2 linked regions of the Lytechinus pictus genome follow. The protein of the gene in region 2 purifies or fractionates together with the protein of the main gene of each other region. This does not show direct contact. Links are inferred from orthologs where the notes say so. Each region holds a gene or a part of one and is shown on either strand. Other genes may lie near its edges. The genes, in order: threonylcarbamoyladenosine tRNA methylthiotransferase-like and cytosolic iron-sulfur assembly component 2B-like.

The links.
Region 1: the proteins of cytosolic iron-sulfur assembly component 2B-like (region 2) and threonylcarbamoyladenosine tRNA methylthiotransferase-like purify together in Homo sapiens (affinity purification with mass spectrometry; 3 studies listed by BioGRID and IntAct, with this or other methods). This does not show direct contact. The link is inferred for Lytechinus pictus from reciprocal best matches to the Homo sapiens genes CIAO2B and CDKAL1.

The regions. Positions count from the first base shown.
Region 1 is NC_087251.1:22,240,862-22,250,288, forward strand, and holds the start of threonylcarbamoyladenosine tRNA methylthiotransferase-like, read right to left. Parts: upstream 3,990-9,427; 5' UTR 3,812-3,989; intron 3,681-3,811; exon of another isoform or gene 3,417-3,680; intron 2,960-3,416; exon of another isoform or gene 2,877-2,959; intron 2,001-2,876; exon of another isoform or gene 1,834-2,000; intron 709-1,833; exon of another isoform or gene 497-708; intron 1-496. UniProt on the Homo sapiens protein: Catalyzes the methylthiolation of N6-threonylcarbamoyladenosine (t(6)A), leading to the formation of 2-methylthio-N6-threonylcarbamoyladenosine (ms(2)t(6)A) at position 37 in tRNAs that read codons beginning with adenine.
Region 2 is NC_087246.1:39,215,489-39,225,010, forward strand, and holds the start of cytosolic iron-sulfur assembly component 2B-like, read left to right. Parts: upstream 1-6,006; 5' UTR 6,007-6,085; coding exon 6,086-6,212; intron 6,213-9,131; coding exon 9,132-9,211; intron 9,212-9,522.

The sequences.
Region 1 (9,427 bases), on a different chromosome or scaffold from region 2:
AAAAGAGAGTTTTTGAACTGCTTTGTGTTACTATGTCTTCATTGAGTTATTTGTTACTTGTCTTTCTACCATATTTGTTGCATCAAAGTTTACAAATTTCTTAGCTTTGATATTACATTTACTGATTTAGGTCTTGCTTTAATTAGAAATTTATCAACAGGAAGGGCAGAAACCAACCCCTTGACCACTTTGAAGTAGGATGGAAGTTTCAGGACTTGGCGTCTTGAGCAGTTGAGGCAAGAGTAGGCAGGTTGAGATTGATAGAAATGCATGCAAATGGAGAAAAACCAAATGAGGGAGTCTCACTCTCACGAGTCTCATGAGTCAAAAAAAAAAAAAATGACTGTCTTCGAGAGTTGGCAGCCCTACCTGGCTAAAATTAACCCAGGACTCGTCCGTGTAACATTAGGCAGAGGGCACTCTCCAAAATGGGGTAGAATGGGGTCGCAATAGCACCCAAAAAAAAACAAGGGGAACAAATAAATCATGCACTTACCTCAATTATAATATGGATGAAGGTCTATCATGACACAAAATCTTGACATTGAGGCACAAACTGGACCCTCAAAAAAAGAGGAAAAGTTCTGTCTCTTCGTTCTCCTTCTTTCATGCAGGCTCGCACTAACACACTACCGTCGGTGAATGGGGATGATCGTAAAATATCAGAAATTGTTGAATAAATCCCCAGAAACGACGGTTATTCCTGTCTAGGAAAGAAGTAAAACTTTGTGTAAAGTAAGAATATTAATTTTAATTGTTTTTAAAGATCGTGATGTTGCATAAATTTTATATTTTCCTCCCATAAAATCCCACCTTTGTCACTCGGAGTATCAGATCGAGTTTACGGCCTCGAATTTCGGATAGGTGGAGCGTAGTGTAGTGGTTGTGAAGTGGAGTCTGCACGAACTTCGCTCGAGGTAGATAGATCGATACCGTCACCGAGAACGCGACATGGACTCTAACTTTTCCTTTTATTTTTGAGGGTTCAGTTTGTGCCTCTATGTCAGGATTTTGTGTCAAGATAGACCTGAGGTAAGTACATAATTAATTTTTTCACCTTCTATTTGGAGTGCTATTGCGACCCCATTCTAACCCATTTTGGAGAATACCCATGTCTGCCTCGTATTACACGGACGAGTCCCGGGCTCCGCGGGCCGTAACCCAGGGAGCTCCCTGGGTTAGGTACCATGCTTACGGTACCGTTGCCCCGGGGACCTCGACACAACGTCTTTAAATAAAGCTAAATAAATGACAGTAGTTGCAGTAAAATACTGATTTTGTGAGAAAGTCTGTAAAACCAAGGTTCAGTATTACTATATCATCGTGGATCTAGATCTGGTACAGTTACATAAACTGAACTTTGTGAAATCATAATATCTAAGCTAAACAAGTGGAACGCCTCTGGCAGTCTCGCCTGCATTACGCGATTTAATATAGCAGCAGTGCTAACTTTGAAAACTACTATAAAATAATCATTCACAAAAACACCATTCATATAATGACATAATACCACATTCATTGACCATAGATGACATTTGAACGGTGACTTAAGACTTGTCAACTACACCCATGTCCACATTTCATTCACTCTATCCATAAACTTTCAAAGTTAATGATTGGCAATTCAACAATTACCCCAACATGGCCTAAGTTTATTGACCTTAACTGACCTTTGACCTTGGTTTTGTGACCTGAAACTCACAGGGGATGTTCAGTGATACTTGATTAATCTTATATCCCAAGTTTTATGAAATAGATCCATAAACTTCATAGTTAGGATGGTAATTCAACAAATACCCCCAACACGGCCAAAGTTCATTGACCTTAACTGACCTTTGACCATGGTCATGTGACCTGAAACTCGTACAGGATGTTCAGTGATACTCGATTACTCTTATGTCCAAGTTTTATGAACTAGATCCATAAACCTTCAGAGTTAGGATGGTAATTTAACAAAGACCCCCAACACAGCCAAAGTTCATTCACCTTAAATGACCATTGACCATGGTCATGTGACCTGAAACTTGCACAGGATATTCAGTGGTACTTGATTAACCTAATGTCCAAGTTTCATGGACTAGGTCCATATACTTTTTCTAAGTTATGATGTCATTTCAAAAACTTAACCTTCGGTTAAGAATAGATTTTGAAAATAATTCTCCCAACATACATGGTCTAAGTTCATTGACCCTAAATGACCTTTGACCTTAGTCATGTGACCTGAAACTCAGGCAGGATGTTTAGTAATAGTAGGATGGGGGGTCGGGTGTCCGGACACTTTAATATTTTGAAGCCTTCTTTTTTGTATTTGGATTACACTAAAAATATGAATTCAATACTTGTAATCATCTTCTATTTTGTTCTTTATAATATTTCCTAACATTTTGTACTAAAAATTTATGAAACTTCGCTTGTAAATTTTTCCAAATGACTTTCTAAAATTGATCGTCCGGACACACAACCTGTCCGGACACACAACAACTGGGTATACTTCATACCTTATGTCCAAGTTTCATGAACTAGGTCCATATACTTTCTAAGTTATGATATCATTTCAAAAACTTAACCTTAGTTAGGTTAAGATTTGATGTTGACGCCGCCGTCGGAAAAGCGGCGCCTATAACTCATTATAAGGCTATAGTCTCGCTCTGCTATGGCTATGCCACTCCTAGTAACAATGAGGTCCAAACATTACATGTATGGACCTCATAGGCGACATCACTAGTATTTTTGGTTAGAAATCTCTGAGAACAGGATATTTCTATATTATATCACAAGTACAAGCTATATTCCTTTCTCTTATTTAAATTATAATTTTATAGTGTAAATGCATCGTTAGCAACAACAAAAAATGAAAGAAATGAAGGGGAACTTACATTTTCACGGCTTTTTCCTGATTTTCTGGGCAGTTGCTCTTCACTTCTGACTCGCGATCGAAGCTGATATGAAGATCACGTGATTCGCGTTCTCGTCAGCTGATCGGTTGATTATTCTTTTTGTCAGACGTTAATAATATATATTTTATAATGCTAGCATTCATCGCTAATTTAGGTGAAAGAGATTGAAGTTAAACAGGGCCAGGTCGGAATCATAATTATTTTGGAAGAGTGTATTTATACACTCGATCTCATACCTGACGTAGACGGTACTATTCAACAAATGCACAATCTTCAATATAAAAAATAAAACAGAAAGAACGCCTTGAACACAGGCCAAAATGCCTAACGATTTCTCCGCGGCATTAACAACTATCGTAAAGGGCGCTCCATTTATTAATAAAGATGGACGTATAGCCGTCTATGGCGACAAAATTTGCCGCAAATATTTACGAAGAATTGTGAGAAATGGTCTGAAAATGCAACAAAAGAACCGGTGAGTACCGATTAAACATTATCAATTTATTTAATAGAACATACCGTATTTTATGACTAGAGTTTAACAATTTCTAGATAATATTGCTTAGTTCTAAGCTAGGGCGGCCCAAATGCGCGTGAGTGGAGTCCCAGTTTATTAACGCGGGTAAGTATTGGGGTGTCGCCTAGAGTGGGCTATGCAGGCGAGACAAAAACGTTCACACTGAATATCACCAACACAGATAGGCACACATGGGACAGTGTATTATTATTGCTGGAATAAAGACCCGACGCCGACGGAAGTGACAGAATCCGCGCATATTTCTCAGCAATTAATTACACAATTTCTTCCAGAATCCTTTGGCACATATTTTTTATTCATACAAACAGACACTTTGGTGATCATTATATTAAGGTAATCCTGGGTTTTAGGGGCGTAAAATATCTGTATACATTACCGGCCTCTAACTTCAGCAAATCATCCCAGCATAGTATGGACGGCTAAAAGGGCAAATATTCAAATATGATTGAGCTGTTTTCATCATTTTTGTCTCGCATGTTATAGCTGGATCTTTTCTTGAAACTTTGGCATTAGGGCAATCAAGTTTCACTGACCGAGTAGAAGGTCACATGATCAAGGTCAAAGGTCATTTAGGGTGAAAATTTTAACAAATAATTGTATTTTCCCCAAGAAATTTCAATGTAAGGGTAATTGAGTTTTACTTTTTAATATCAACTTATTGCTGGTCACCTGAACAAGGTCAAAGGTCATCTTAATTCGAGGGGATTTGGCTTGAAAGGGGGAGGGGGTTCTTCAAAGTACCCTACATTTTAGTGGAAAGGGGATCAAATTGGCCTTTATATATATTGCACCTACTGGGTTTGAGGGGTATAAATTATGTTTTGGCTTAAGGAGGGGGGGGGGGGTACTTCCAAGAACTCTACATTTCAGTGGAGAGGGATCAAATTGGCCTGTATTATATTACCTAATTGTACCTACTGGGTTTTAGGGGCATAAACTATTTTCTGGCTTGAGGGGGGGGGGGGTACTTCCAAGAACCCTACATTTAATTGGAGAGGGGATGAAATTGGCCTATATATATTACCGTATTGTACCTACTGGGTTTTAGGGGCATAAACTATTTTTTGGCTTGAGGGGGGGGGGTACTTCTAAGAACCAAACATTTAATTGGAGAGGGGATAAAATTGGCCTATATATATTCCCGTAATGTACCTACTGGGTTTTAGGGGCATAAACTATTTTTTGGCTTGAGGGGGGGGGGTATACTTCCAAGAACCCTACATTAAATTGGAGAGGGGATGAAATTGGCCTATATATATTACCGTATTGTACCTACTGGGTTTTAGGGGCATAAACTATTTTGGGGATTTGAAGGGGGGGTACTTCCAAGAACCCAACATTTAATTGGAAAGGGGATGAAATTGGCCTATATATATTACCATATTGTACCTACTGGGTTTTAGGGGCATAAACTATTTTTTGGCTTGAGGGGGGGGGGGGTTCTTCCAAGAACGCTACATTTAATTGGAGAGGGGATGAAATTGGCCTATATATATTACCGTATTGTACCTACTGGGTTTTAGGGGCATAAACTATTTTTTGGCTTGAGGGGGGGGGGAAGGTACTTCCAAGAACCCTACATTTGAGTGGAGAGGGGATGAAATTGGCCAATATATATTGCACCTTCTGGGTTTTAGGGGTATAAACTATTTTTTTGCTTGAGGGGGGGGGGTACTTCCAAGAACCAAACATTTAATTCGAGAGGGGATGAAATTGGCCTATATATATATTGCACCTACTGGGTTTTAAGGGTATGAACTATTTTCTGGGCCTGAGGGGGGGGGGGTACTTCCTAGAACCCTACATTTAATTGGAGAGGGAATGAAATTGGCCTATATATATTACCGTATTGTACCTACTGGGTTTTAGGGGCATAAACTATTTTAGGGACTTGAATGGGGGGGGGGGGGGGGTACTTCCAAGAACCCTACATTCAATTGGAGAGGGGATGAAATTGGCCTATATATATTACCGTATTGTACCTACTGGGTTTTAGGGGCATAAACTATTTTTGGCTTGAGGGGGGCCGGGGGTACTTCCAAGAACCAAACATTTAATTGGAGAGGGGATGAAATTGGCCTATATATATTACCGTATTGTACCTACTGGGTTTTAGGGGCATAAACTATTTTTTGGCTTGAGGGGGGGGGGGGGGGGAAGGTACTTCCAAGAACCCTACATTTGAGTGGAGAGGGGATGAAATTGGCCAATATATATTGCACCTTCTGGGTTTTAGGGGTATAAACTATTTTTTTGCTTGAGGGGGGGGGGTACTTCCAAGAACCAAACATTTAATTCGAGAGGGGATGAAATTGGCCTATATATATATTGCACCTACTGGGTTTTAAGGGTATGAACTATTTTCTGGGCCTGAGGGGGGGGGTACTTCCTAGAACCCTACATTTAATTGGAGAGGGAATGAAATTGGCCTATATATATTACCGTATTGTACCTACTGGGTTTTAGGGGCATAAACTATTTTAGGGACTTGAATGGGGGGGGGGGTACTTCCAAGAACCCTACATTCAATTGGAGAGGGGATGAAATTGGCCTATATATATTACCGTATTGTACCTACTGGGTTTTAGGGGCATAAACTATTTTTGGCTTGAGGGGGGCCGGGGGTACTTCCAAGAACCAAACATTTAATTGGAGAGGGGATGAAATTGGCCTATATATATTACCGTATTGTACCTACTGGGTTTTAGGGGCATAAACTATTTTTTGGCTTGAAGGGGGGGGGGGTTCTTCCAAGAACGCTACATTTAATTGGAGAGGGGATGAAATTGGCCTATATATATTACCGTATTGTACCTACTGGGTTTTAGGGGCATAAACTATTTTTTGGCTTGAGGGGGGGGGGGGTACTTCCAAGAACCCTACATTTAATTGGAAAGGGGATGAAATTGGCCTATATATATTACCGTATTGTACCTACTGGGTTTTAGGGGCATAAACTATTTTAGGGATTTGAAGGGGGGGGGGGTACTTCCAAGAACCCAACATTTAATTGGAAAGGGGATGAAATTGGCCTATATATATTACCATATTGTACCTACTGGGTTTTAGGGGCATAAACTATTTTTTGGCTTGAGGGGGGGGGGGGGATTCTTCCAAGAACGCTACATTTAATTGGAGAGGGGATGAAATTGGCCTATATATATTACCGTATTGTACCTACTGGGTTTTAGGGGCATAAACTATTTTTTGGCTTGAGGGGGGAGGTACTTCCAAGAACCCTACATTTGAGTGGAGAGGGGATGAAATTGGCCTATATATATTGCACCTACTGGGTTTTAGGGGTATAAACTATTTTTTGGCTTGAGGGGGGGGGGGTACTTCAAAGAACCAAACATTTAATTCGAGAGGGGATGAAATTGGCCTATATATATTACCGTATTGTACCTACTGGGTTTTAGGGGCATAAACTATTTTTTGGCTTGAGGGGGGGGGGGTACTTCCAAGAACCCAACATTTAATTGGAGAGGAGATAAAATTTCCTATTAAACAGCCTGAAAACATAAATAATACAGCTCTTCTAATGTTTTCTATGTTGATGAATTCATTTATGACAGTAATTTTCCATTTTAACCAATGCCTTAATCAGAATTACTGGCTCAATGCACTAATTAACATCTATGTGCAATATATCAAGTATATATTCCTATGACCGGTGTGTTGGCTCAGTTGGTAGAGCGTCCGTCTCACAACCGGGAGGTCGGGGGTTCAAACCCCGCCCGCGTCAGACCAAAAGACGTTAAAGATGGGAGTTGCTGCTACCCTGTTTGACGTTCAATGATTAAAGGGATAGAACCTCGTCAATCTGGTGCTGCACAGCGGCCGCCGGGCCCATGATCAATTGGGCATAGCAAATTTTCGGACTATTTCATTTCATGTCTATTTCGAACAATAAATTATGGATTTTCATTTTTTTTCATTTGTTCTATGTTAGTTTTATCGAGTGCGCCTGAAAAACATGAAAAATATATCACTAACATATGGTTAGTGGTAATTAAAATACAGGTGCAATACATATATTTCGTTGTCTCTGTATTTATATAGGCGCTGCTTTTCCGACGGCGGCGGCGACGGCAGCGTCGTCAACATTGATATATAAAATAAGCAATGCCAATGTCATCATAACTTAGAAAGTATATGAACCTAGTTCATGAAACTGGGACATAAAAGTAATCAAGTATTACTGAACATCTTGCCTTAGTTTCAGGTCACATGACTAAGATCAATGGTCATTTAGGGCCAATGAACTAAGATCTTGTTGGGGGAATACATATCGAAATCTTAACCAAGGATAAGTTTTTAAAATGTTGTCATAACCTAGAAAGTATATGGACCTAGTTCATTAAACTTAAACATAAAGGTAATCAAGTCATACTGAATACCCTGTCTTAGTTTCAGGTCACATGACCTAGGTCAAAGGTCACTTAGCGTCAATGAACTTTGACCATGCTGGGGGTATTTATGGAATTGTCATAACTTTAAAAGTTTATGGATCCACATGTAGTTAATGAAACTTGGACATAAGTGCAACCAGGGAAGTCCTGGTGCAACCATGTAGGCCGATCCCTGTATATCCTGTGCGCATGTCAGGTCAATTAAATGACCAAGATCAAAGGTAATGTAAGGTCAATGAACTTTGGCCATGTTGGGGGTATTTTTTAACTTGGCATCATATCTTAGAAAGTTTATGGATCTAGTTCATGAAACATAAACATATGGGTAATCAAGGATTGTTTTGCACACATGTTAGGTCACTTGATCATGGTCAAAGGCCATTTTGGATCGATGGACATCATATGAATTCTTCTTACGTGAATATTTTATGCAATAGCTGTTTTCAAAGTCAAAACTGCTGCTATATCAAATCGCGTAATGCAGGCGAGACTGCCAGAGGCGATCCACTTTGATTAGCTCATTATGTCAATCATTAAGCTAATTTTACAACATTAACATTGTTTAAATGAAATACGATATCATAAATGAATTCCTCGTCATAGAAAACTATGAAATAGCTGTATTATTTATGTTTTAGGGCATTTTTAAAATATAAAATGACAAAGGAATATATATTCATATGTAATTATATTGGTAATTATGTTAATTAGCGCAGTATACTGATTGTGCTAATTACACAATAACATTTGTTTAACGGGGAAAATAATGTCACAAAAGAATTCTTCATCAAAGAAAACCATAGGATAGCTGTAATTGTTTATGTTTTCAGGCTTTCTCAATATAAAATGACAAAGGAATATATATATATATATATATATATATATATTGCAGATATATGTTAATTAGCGCATTATGCTAATTATACTAATTACGACAATTACATTGGTAAAAAGGGGGAAAATAATGTCAGAAATTAATTCCTCGTCATAGAAAACCATGGGATAGCTGTATTATTCATGTATTCGGACATTTTCGATATAAAATGACAAAAGAATGTATATATTGCACATATATGGTAATTAGCGCATTATGCTAATTATGCTAATTACGACAATTACATTGGTAAGAAGGGAAAATAATGTCATAAATTAATTCCTCGCCATATAAAACTAGCTTAGGGTACATGTAGCTGTATTAATCATGTTTGCGGACATTCTCGATATGAAATGACAAAGAAATATATATTTTTATATGTATTACACATATACATATATATATATTAATTAGTGCATTATGCTAATTATGTTAATTACAGCAATTTCATTGGTTAAAATTGAAAAATATGGTCATAAATGAATTCCTCGCTATAGAAAAACCCTTAAAGGGATGCATTGTCTACGTATTGGGCATTTTTTGGATAGACATCCACAAATATACATATTGCACTTCAATGCTAATTAGCTCATTATGCTAATTGGGATTATTACGATAATTGCATAACTTAAATATTTAAATTATTGCTTTAAATCGATTCCTCGTCACGGGACCTCTTAGTAAAATTACATTTTTTAAAAAATCT
Region 2 (9,522 bases):
ATTTATATTTCGATTTGATAATTGTCTATTGTAATTTTATAATGTTGTCAATTTTTGTATGTACTTCAATTGTGATTATATGTTACTTTGTCAATTGTATCATAATTGTAAATATGAAATTGAAAGTGGAAAATAAAATAATTGAATTGAATCTAGACTCTAAATAGCCGGCAGAGGCCGCCGAACGGATCAAAGGGGGCTGTTGCACTGACCCAAAAGTCTTGTTTTCTTTTCTTTTTCTAGGGGGGGGGGCGGGTGGGGGCAGAACATGGTTATTACAATTTGATGGTAATTTTTACTGGTTGAGTATGGTTACTTAAAAAAAATAACTGTCACCACTAATAGAGTACATTTCTTGTTACAAATTTCGAGAAGCAAAAAAAAAATCTTTTGTTCAAGGTATAATACGTAAGGGGCCGGCCCCGGCCCTCATGGATCCCCGTGCCTGTTTTCTTCATTTGGCGTCCGTTTCATAATGAATTACAGCTATTTAATCATCGCTGTTATTGTGATTACCGTGGTAACCTAGATTATGATTGGTTATAGCAGTTACCATCGTAGTTAACTACGATGGTAACGGCTATATATAACCAATCATTATTACCATACTTGTAACTCATGATGAAACGTGCCCCAGTTTATCATGTTTAATACGTTTCCTGTCCCCTCTATTCTCCAGCATTTCTTGCTCTGTTTTTCCATTTAATAATTTTCCCACTCACGTTATTTTGGTGCCGCCTTTCTCCTACATATATTTCCTTCTTCTTTTCCCACTTGTTATCTGTCTCCTGGTTTCCATAAATCTCGTCTTATTTCTCTTCCACCCCTTTGTTCCTACTTCCCACCATTCGTGCTCTCTTACCCCCCCTCTAAATTATCTCTTCATATGTGCCCCTCCATTTCTTTCTCATCTCTTTTCAACCCCCTTCTCATCACTCTTTCTCTCTCTCGATCTCCATCTCATTTGAATTTTGCCAATTCCAAATCCCTTTCATTTTAGCTCTGTACAAATACTATACAAATGAAAGACATGAAGGCATTTTATGGTTAGTTGTGAATTTTATTAATAGCCAAAAAAAATATCACATTATCAGAGGATTTAGCCTTACTTTTTTTCTTAAGCGTATGTTAATACTTTGAATCGAACGAAAAATGTTTTTTGTATGCAGGGGCAGCGATCCTGGGGGGCACAGTTCCCCCTACTTTTTAAAGCACTGAAAAGTGCCTTTAATTTTATGTAAGAAAAATGCCCCCTCACGAACGTGTACTGTGTCCCTTTCACCTGACGAGAACCTGTTTTAGGTGTTACCAAGTGCTCTTCCTTGTATGCAAATTTTTACCAAAAATGCCCCCCGAACGTGTTCTGTGCCCTTTCATCTGAGGGCCCGTTTTAAGTGTTAAAAAGTACCCCCTCGCCTTCTTGTAAGTGCCCTTTCTCTAATAACTGCCCCCTTTTATCCAAGAAAAGTGCTCCTAAAGAATGACGAGTGCCCTTTGAAACAAGAAAACAATAAGGAAATCCTTTGTGCATTAAGTTTAATAATTCATGTGAGTGGGGGTAGATAAGCAGTTTCGTACACTACAGATGGAGGGGGGGGGGGCTTGAAGGACTCTTGCCCCCCCCCCCAAAAAAAAGGGTGAAATATATCATTCTGAATATTTTGTCGAAATCTATCACAAAATTGGATTTTCTTTTTAAAAATGTCAAAATTTTGCTCTCTCGCAACTTCTTTAAAATTTCACATAATACAGCATTTTCCCTGTGCCCCCCCCCACTTTCAACTTCACTTCGCCGCTCCTATTTGTATGTTTATAGCTTTTCCTTTTGCAACCAGTTTTAATGAAAATCGACAGGAAATTTCATACTTCATGAATTTGGGGTTGTGATGATAATTAAAAAAAAAAACCTTTTCCATCTTTATCAAGTGCTTCCTAAGCTAAGTCACTCTTCAATTTGTTGGGTTTCTTGAATGAAAACATCTGTTACACCAGTCCTGCAGATTGAAAAAATAGAGAAAGAAAATCAATGAATTTAAATTAAAATTGTCATGATTTGTAAAACATAAATGTTTGAAGAAAAGTAAGACTATACATACCGGTATATAAATTTCTTCATCACATAACATAGGAAATCTTACTTCTACTAATTATAAACTTGTACTTCTACAAAGCATATCACTTAAACCTGTTCTATGCAGTTTGCATACCACTCTCCATTATAACTACATGTACTATATAAAAAAAATGTCAGAGATTTCCCATAAATATGAATATATGAATTAACATATAAATTATATATAATAGTCAGAATTAAAGATGATGTTTTGTTGCACAGAATATTTTGATCTGCGAATAAAAACGACACCTATCTATAACCTAAAAACAGAATTGAAATGTTTTTTTCAAAGGCAGGTCTATTTGTTGCCTAAAAATATTGTGAAAACCCCCCATTATTAAAAATAATCACTTATTAACTCACTCATATAACTGCTGTAGGTTGTATTTCTCTTTGTGGTCCTATCACTGTTCTATTAGGCCTACTTCACCAATTGTTTATCATCATCAATCACCTCCATGGAAATTGTAAAACTGCATCATCCTATTGGACAAAATGTAAAATAACAAGATTTAAAAAAAATCGTAAATCTACAAATATGAAATATGAATATCACACTAAAGAATGCATGAAATGAATTTTGTAAAATATGAAAAATAAATATTGCTTTGTGTAGTACGGGGTTCTGACAATATCTCATTTCTAGTACTCTTAACACAGAGGCAGCCCAGCAGACATGTTGTCAGGTTGATAACTTACTGGCCAACTCCCAGATTTTAATGACTCAAAGCCTTGTTGCATTCTTTGTAACATTCCATGCAAATTACTTAAGGCACATCAATATTCATATAAATGTAAATCAATATAACAAAGTATAACTGAATATTCAAATATACAAACAAAGGATATATATTGACCATTCAAACTATATGCAAATTATTATTTAAGCTTGAGTGCATCAACTTAACATTATAACCAATCAGAAGGAGAGTGAGAGAGAGAGAGAGGAGTGAAGAAAGCTGTATGAAGGATGGTGGAGTGAATTAATACCAAACAACCTTGTGTACAGAGTGTACAGCAGTTAATGTGTAAGAGAGAGCTATACATGAAGAATAGGAAGTTAGGATGAAAAGGGTGAATATAAATGAGGGATGTTCTATTAGAAAAAGGGGATGATTCCTGGATAAGAGTGGAAAGAAATATAAGTACAAAATCAATCCCTACACTTTGTTTATAAACAAATAGGAAATAAAAAGGCCATTTAATTACTAGTAGATCAAGGACATGACCTTATTTTATAAATTTGTCCAAGGTACATAACTTTTGGCATTGGTTCTATTTTAGACTCGAGAGCCTGTATATTAAGAAGTGTATATTCATTACAGATCCTACCTCTTTGTAGCTCAGATTATTTTTATTTAATGTAAACATGGTTAACATTCAATGCATATGCAATGTATCTGTAATTTTGTATGGGTTAGTTTAAGTTTTATACCTGGATGAGAATCTGCAAAATGATGCATGCACTTATGATCATCATCTTGAACCATATAGGTAGACCTCTACTGTTTTTCTTGTTCTTCAAACTCAACCTGTTTGTGAAAGAGAGAGAACAATAATAAGAAATGATCTTTTTCATGGCCGTATGTATAGGGGGAGGGGTTTGGGTAAGAGCTGAAATCAGAAATGTGAAAACCTTCATCAAAAAGAGAATTGCATGACATCCTTCAATTTTACTTTAGAAAATGCACAAAACGGCCCTAGGTAATATTGGTCGCTTCTGGCCCTCGCTTTCTGAATTTTAGGTTTCTCTAAATTTTTTCACATGTCTGCCCCCCCCCCCCAAAAAAAAAAATCTGGATCTTTTTATTTCCGAATCTTATTTCATTAGACTTTAACATAATTTCATAATCTCATGCACTAGGTCTAGATCTATTTGTAAGAAAGTATAGATCTAGTCCAACGAGACTCAATGCTGTGCGACAGCATTCATGTATCTAAATTAGGTCTAGATCTAGACTAACGATGGACTCTCGATCTATCTAGACCTAGAAAGTAAAGCTTCGGTTCTAAACCCTATATCGGTTTAGAAATTTTTGATGTCTGACTTTGACTTTTATTCCTGGCTAAGACTTCATTGCCATTATTGACCGAGAGTAGATCTAGATCTAGTCCGACTCCTTGGTCCACTGACAGTCATACTCGTACATGTAAATGGAGTCGTTTAGGCCCAGACCTAGATCTAGGCCTAAATTACAGACCTAGATCATAAGCCCTGGGGGCAAGTATCGAGGGTTGGGAAAGTATAAGTTAGACTAGATTTTAATTAGGTAGGCCTAGCTCTTGATAAAATGATAGCATCGATGAATAAATAAAAGTAAAGTAGCCTAGATCTAAGTATAAACATGAAGTAAGTAGGGCCTAGGATTAAGAAGATCTAGGTCATAGATCTATTGATAATAAGACAAACATGCAGAGCAGCATGTTATTTCTAAGACCGAGTCTATAAATTTATGAATAACAATTAACCCAGAGAGCTCCCGCCCGCGCAGCGGGCGGGAGCCCAGAAGCTTACCGTGTATTTTACCATTGTCACCGGACTAGGGTGATTTATGGTCTAAATATTTCTCCAAATGAATTGTGAAAACGGAAAGTATACAATTACCACGATTATATGGATGAAGGTCTAACGAGTGACAGATTCCTGACATCTGGGCACAGTCTGGTACCTCAAAAAAACGAAAAGTTCTCTCCTTCTACCCAGTCTCGATCGGCCATTTTGTTACGATTTTTAACAAAAATGGCCGATCGAGACGGGGTAGAAGGAGAGAACTTTTCGTTTTTTTGAGGTTCCAGACTGTGCCCAGATGTCAGGAATCTGCCACTCGTTAGACCTTCATCCATATAATCGTGGTAATTGTATACTTTCTGTTTTCACAATTCATTTGGAGAAATATTTAGACCATAAATCACCCTAGTCCGGTGACAATGGTAAAATACACGGTAAGCTTCTGGGCTCCCGCCCGCTGCGCGGGCGGGAGCTCTCTGGGTTAAATAACAATAAGAGTTAAAATGGTGGGGGCTAAATGCAGAAGCCTGAAGTTATGCAAAATAAATTTGATATCTGAAAGTGAGGACTGACACAATGTCAATGACAGGCGTATCTTCATCCACACTCCGCTTCACAGTTTATTCCTGACTGAGTCTCGATCTACTGAAGACAGATGCAGATCTCCCTCTAGATCTAACGTTACAGTGTACAAAAAGAAGCCTCATTCTTCTTGTTTTAATCAATCGTGGGTTGGTCCTTGTTGGAGGTGAACCAAACCAGCCCGATTATCTCTCGATTCCCAGCCGGCTAGGAGCCCGTACAAAATACACTGCAAGCAACATACTGGCTGCACTGTGCGACGATGACAATCTAACTTCAATTTCAAAGACCAAATTCTGCTTTCCTTTAACAGAAGAATGATAGCAAACTCTCTAATTTGTTAAAGAAATAACCTAAGATCACAAAATACAGTGTGAAATGTGTAAATAGTCCACTGAATTCATGTGGTTATATCAATTTATACGTACTCACCGGAGTGTTCGTAGGTCCATTTTGTGTGTGGAAAGAAAAGTTTCAGAATGAATAAATTAGATGACGTAATGAGGTCAAATGAATAATTATTTCTGTAACACGATACCACTAGTATCGATGACAAGGAATCGGGGAAATCGCGTATTAATGACGCTCTTAGCCAATGAAAAGGCCGGATTATGAATATCTTCATGCTCATGAATGTCAATGAGGGCTTATTTTTGTCTTCAAATGATCGCGGTAGGCGGAGCCTAATCTCATTTGTTTTGTGCTGAACGCGCACGCAGCTTTCGGTCTAGTAATATATTATAAGGTCTTTGCTCTGTACCGGCCGCGTACGTACCGGCCTGACGTACTACCGCACCACCGGCCGTGCATACCGGGCCGGACGGCGAATATTCGGGTACGTGGGTCGTCGAGGTGTCGTTCCTTCTTCAAACCTTAAGATGTCGGGGCGTGAACAACTGGATAATGTCAACCCCACGATTCATGGAAAGCTTGATAAAAGACACATTCTACCAGCCGAAGAAGATGATGATATCGACGATGCCATCGACACAAGAGAAGTGTTTGATATCCTTTAATTATTTCAATAATATTATGATCAGTAGAGGCGTGGCGCACGGCCAATATTAACCCAGAGAGCTCCCGTCCGCGCGGGCGGGAGCTCTCTGGGTTAGGCCAATATGGGAGACTCTATTACTAGAGAGACAATCTCCCACATTGGAGACTTGCTTTGCAAAGGACAAAAGAAACAACAACAACAAAAGCATAATTTTTTCCACCCAAAATGTTGTCTCACTGAGGTCAGAAGCCCATTTGTTTTGTGTGTGATTGACAACAAATATCCTTATCAAAACAAAAGTAGACGGTGAATTTTTAAAGTAGATGGTGAAAAGGGGTAATTTTTCATGAGGAATCTGCTTATCACATTTTTATTTGCCGCCAAGTTAATCCTTTTGCAGCAAATGTAAACAAAGGAAATTGGACTCCAAAACTGGAGACTGTCTCTGAAATTGGCTGCCCTGAAATTGGATACCCAAATTCTTTACAAAAGTCTCTGATATTATTGGAGATAATCTCCCACATTGGAGACAGTCTCCAATATTGGCTGTGCGCCTCTACTGATGATGGGCATCCATCTAGTCTTGAATTTAAACTTTAAAGGTCAAGTCCACCTCAGAAAAATGTTGATTTGAATCAATAGAGAAAATCAGACAAGCACAATGCTGAAAATTTCATCAAAATCGGATGTAAAATAAGAAAGTTATGACATTTCAAAGTTTTGCTTATTTTTTACCATGTTTACAAAATAGTTAGGCCTAGGCCTATATGAACGAGCCAGTTACATCCAAATGAGAGAGTCGATGTTGTCACTCACTATTTCTTTTGTTTTTTATTGTTTGAATTATACAATATTTCAATTTTTACGAATTTGACGATTAGGACCTTGCCTGAAGCACAAAATGTTAAAATAATGGAATTCCACGTGTTCAGGGAGGAATGAAACTTAATTTCACATGACAATGACGAGAAAATAAAAATATTTCATATAATAAAATACAAAAGAAATAGTGAGTGATGTCATCAGTTCCTCATTTGCATACCGACGGAGATGTGCATATAACTGTTTTGTAAAATGAAGCAAAACTTTAAAATGCCATAACTTTCTTATTTTACCGTGACATCCAATTTTGATGAAATTTTCAGTGTTATGCTTGTTAAATTTTTCTCTTTTTATTCAAATCAAGTTTTTGTTGGGGTGGACATGTCCTTTAAAGAAGAAGAAGATGTTTTATTAATATTTAGACATATATGGTTGTGGATCGTATTACCAAACACTTCATGAATTCAATCATATCAAACACATTATTCTCGTGTAATTCACCGAACTTTTTACCATAAATCACTTGTTCACTGCAACCATCCTGCCTGTGGGGAATCTACAGGTAGAACTATGGTATGCCAATGCTGTACACAGCACACAATTTAAAAAATCATTAAATTTTCACTTTTGTGACCAAAATTACTAATTTCCATACAGTTGCAATTTATTTTTCATTAGTAACCAGGGAATAATTTTTGTATTCACCTGGGGCCTGTTTCTCAACACCTGGACAAGTTAGTCATATCTTTATCCACCAACCACGGAGATAGTTCCAATCTTACTAAACCTGTTTCTCGAAAGGCTTCCTAACTAGAATACCTTGATATCAGATATTCAGATCAGATATTCAAAATTTATTGTCATGCTCAAAATAAAAATTACATTGGCACAAAAATCATATTCCGGCTGTTGGTATACAAAGAACAATATATAACATATAATAAATAATTACAAAAATAATGGCATTAAATAATATACAAAGCAAAAATTACACAAAGACCTAATACTAACCCAGAACAATATGATACCCTGCAAGGGCAGCTGCACTGAAAACTTTACCTGGTGCCGAGGGGGGAAATGCCTCGAGCACGGTGCCAGTCCAACACATCCATGGGCCCCGGTTCGACATTGAAACAATCACAACACATCACACTACTATCGGTAAAAAGAGCAGACGAGACGTAGCCTTAGTCACAAAATAGCATATTTTTCAAAAAGAAAAATTATGACAAAATTGCAAATATTTCGATGAATTGGGAAATACATCTTTTCAAAATAATAGCACATGTAAATTATGCATCATACATATTTAGACCATGAAGGTTGGAGCATTCAATTGCTGAGAAAATTAAATTATGAATAAATAATTTCATGACTAGAAAATCACATGTGGACGTCACTAGCATACCTACGGGGGGGGGGGGCAGAGGGGGCAGTCTGCCCCCCCTGACGAGCTTGAAGACCTTTATTGCCCCCCCCCCCCCTGACGAGCTTGAAGACCCTTTTTTTTTTTTTTTTTTTTTTTTTGCTTGTCAAATTTTTTTCTGGTACGAAATCCTTCATTTGTGATTGAAGACCTTTTTTTTTTTTTTTTTTTGCTTGTCAAATTTTTTGGCGGACGGTTTTGCCCCCCCTGTGAAAAATCCCAGGTACGCCACTGGTGGACGTTGAGATGGGTACCCCTGGGACATCAAATTTTAATAGTTTACGAAAGTAAACCATAACGGTGGTCTTTGTAAAATGATGATAATTATAAGCCCTTCTACGATTCCAAATATCATCAAAAATAAATCTTTGAAACTGAAACATACGATTTGACAAATTCTATGCATAGATTAGAGATCAACATTTTCCTGAGGTGGACTTGACCTTCAAGAACAATTTCAGAGTCAAATTGGCTGATGAGTTAAACCTCTACTTTGAGATATTGATGTCACAATTGGCCATCTGTATTTAAACAACAACTTTAGACCAGAGTTTAAATAAAATCTGACTTCAGAATATGGGCCATTGGGTTTATTTCCTGTTTATTTGTATATTAGAGAAACCTTGAAGAGTACTCAGGTTTTGTGATCTATGTCAAATTTCCTTGACTAGATGTTAACATTTGATCAGAAACATCAATGACCCTGAGCATCCTCTGACATTGGAAGAGTTGAATGTTGTGCAGCAAGCTGAATTAGAGGTATGTCTGAATTCTTTTCTGACTTGTGTTATGATGTCACAACTCACAGTGATTTCATGATTATGTTACGAGTCATGCAGTATGAATTTACAACTTTGTCTAGTTTATTTAGATTATTTGTACTAACTTGTCGTAATTTGCATTTACTCTTTTATAGACTATGATTGGTCCTCATATAATAACCACCTTTCAACCCTCCCTCAGAAATTATCTTTCTGTTTTAACATTTTTTTCAACACCTAATATCCCACTTGCTTTGTATTTCTATGTCAGAATGTTGCCAAGGATTGTTGCACCATGTCTGGATGAGC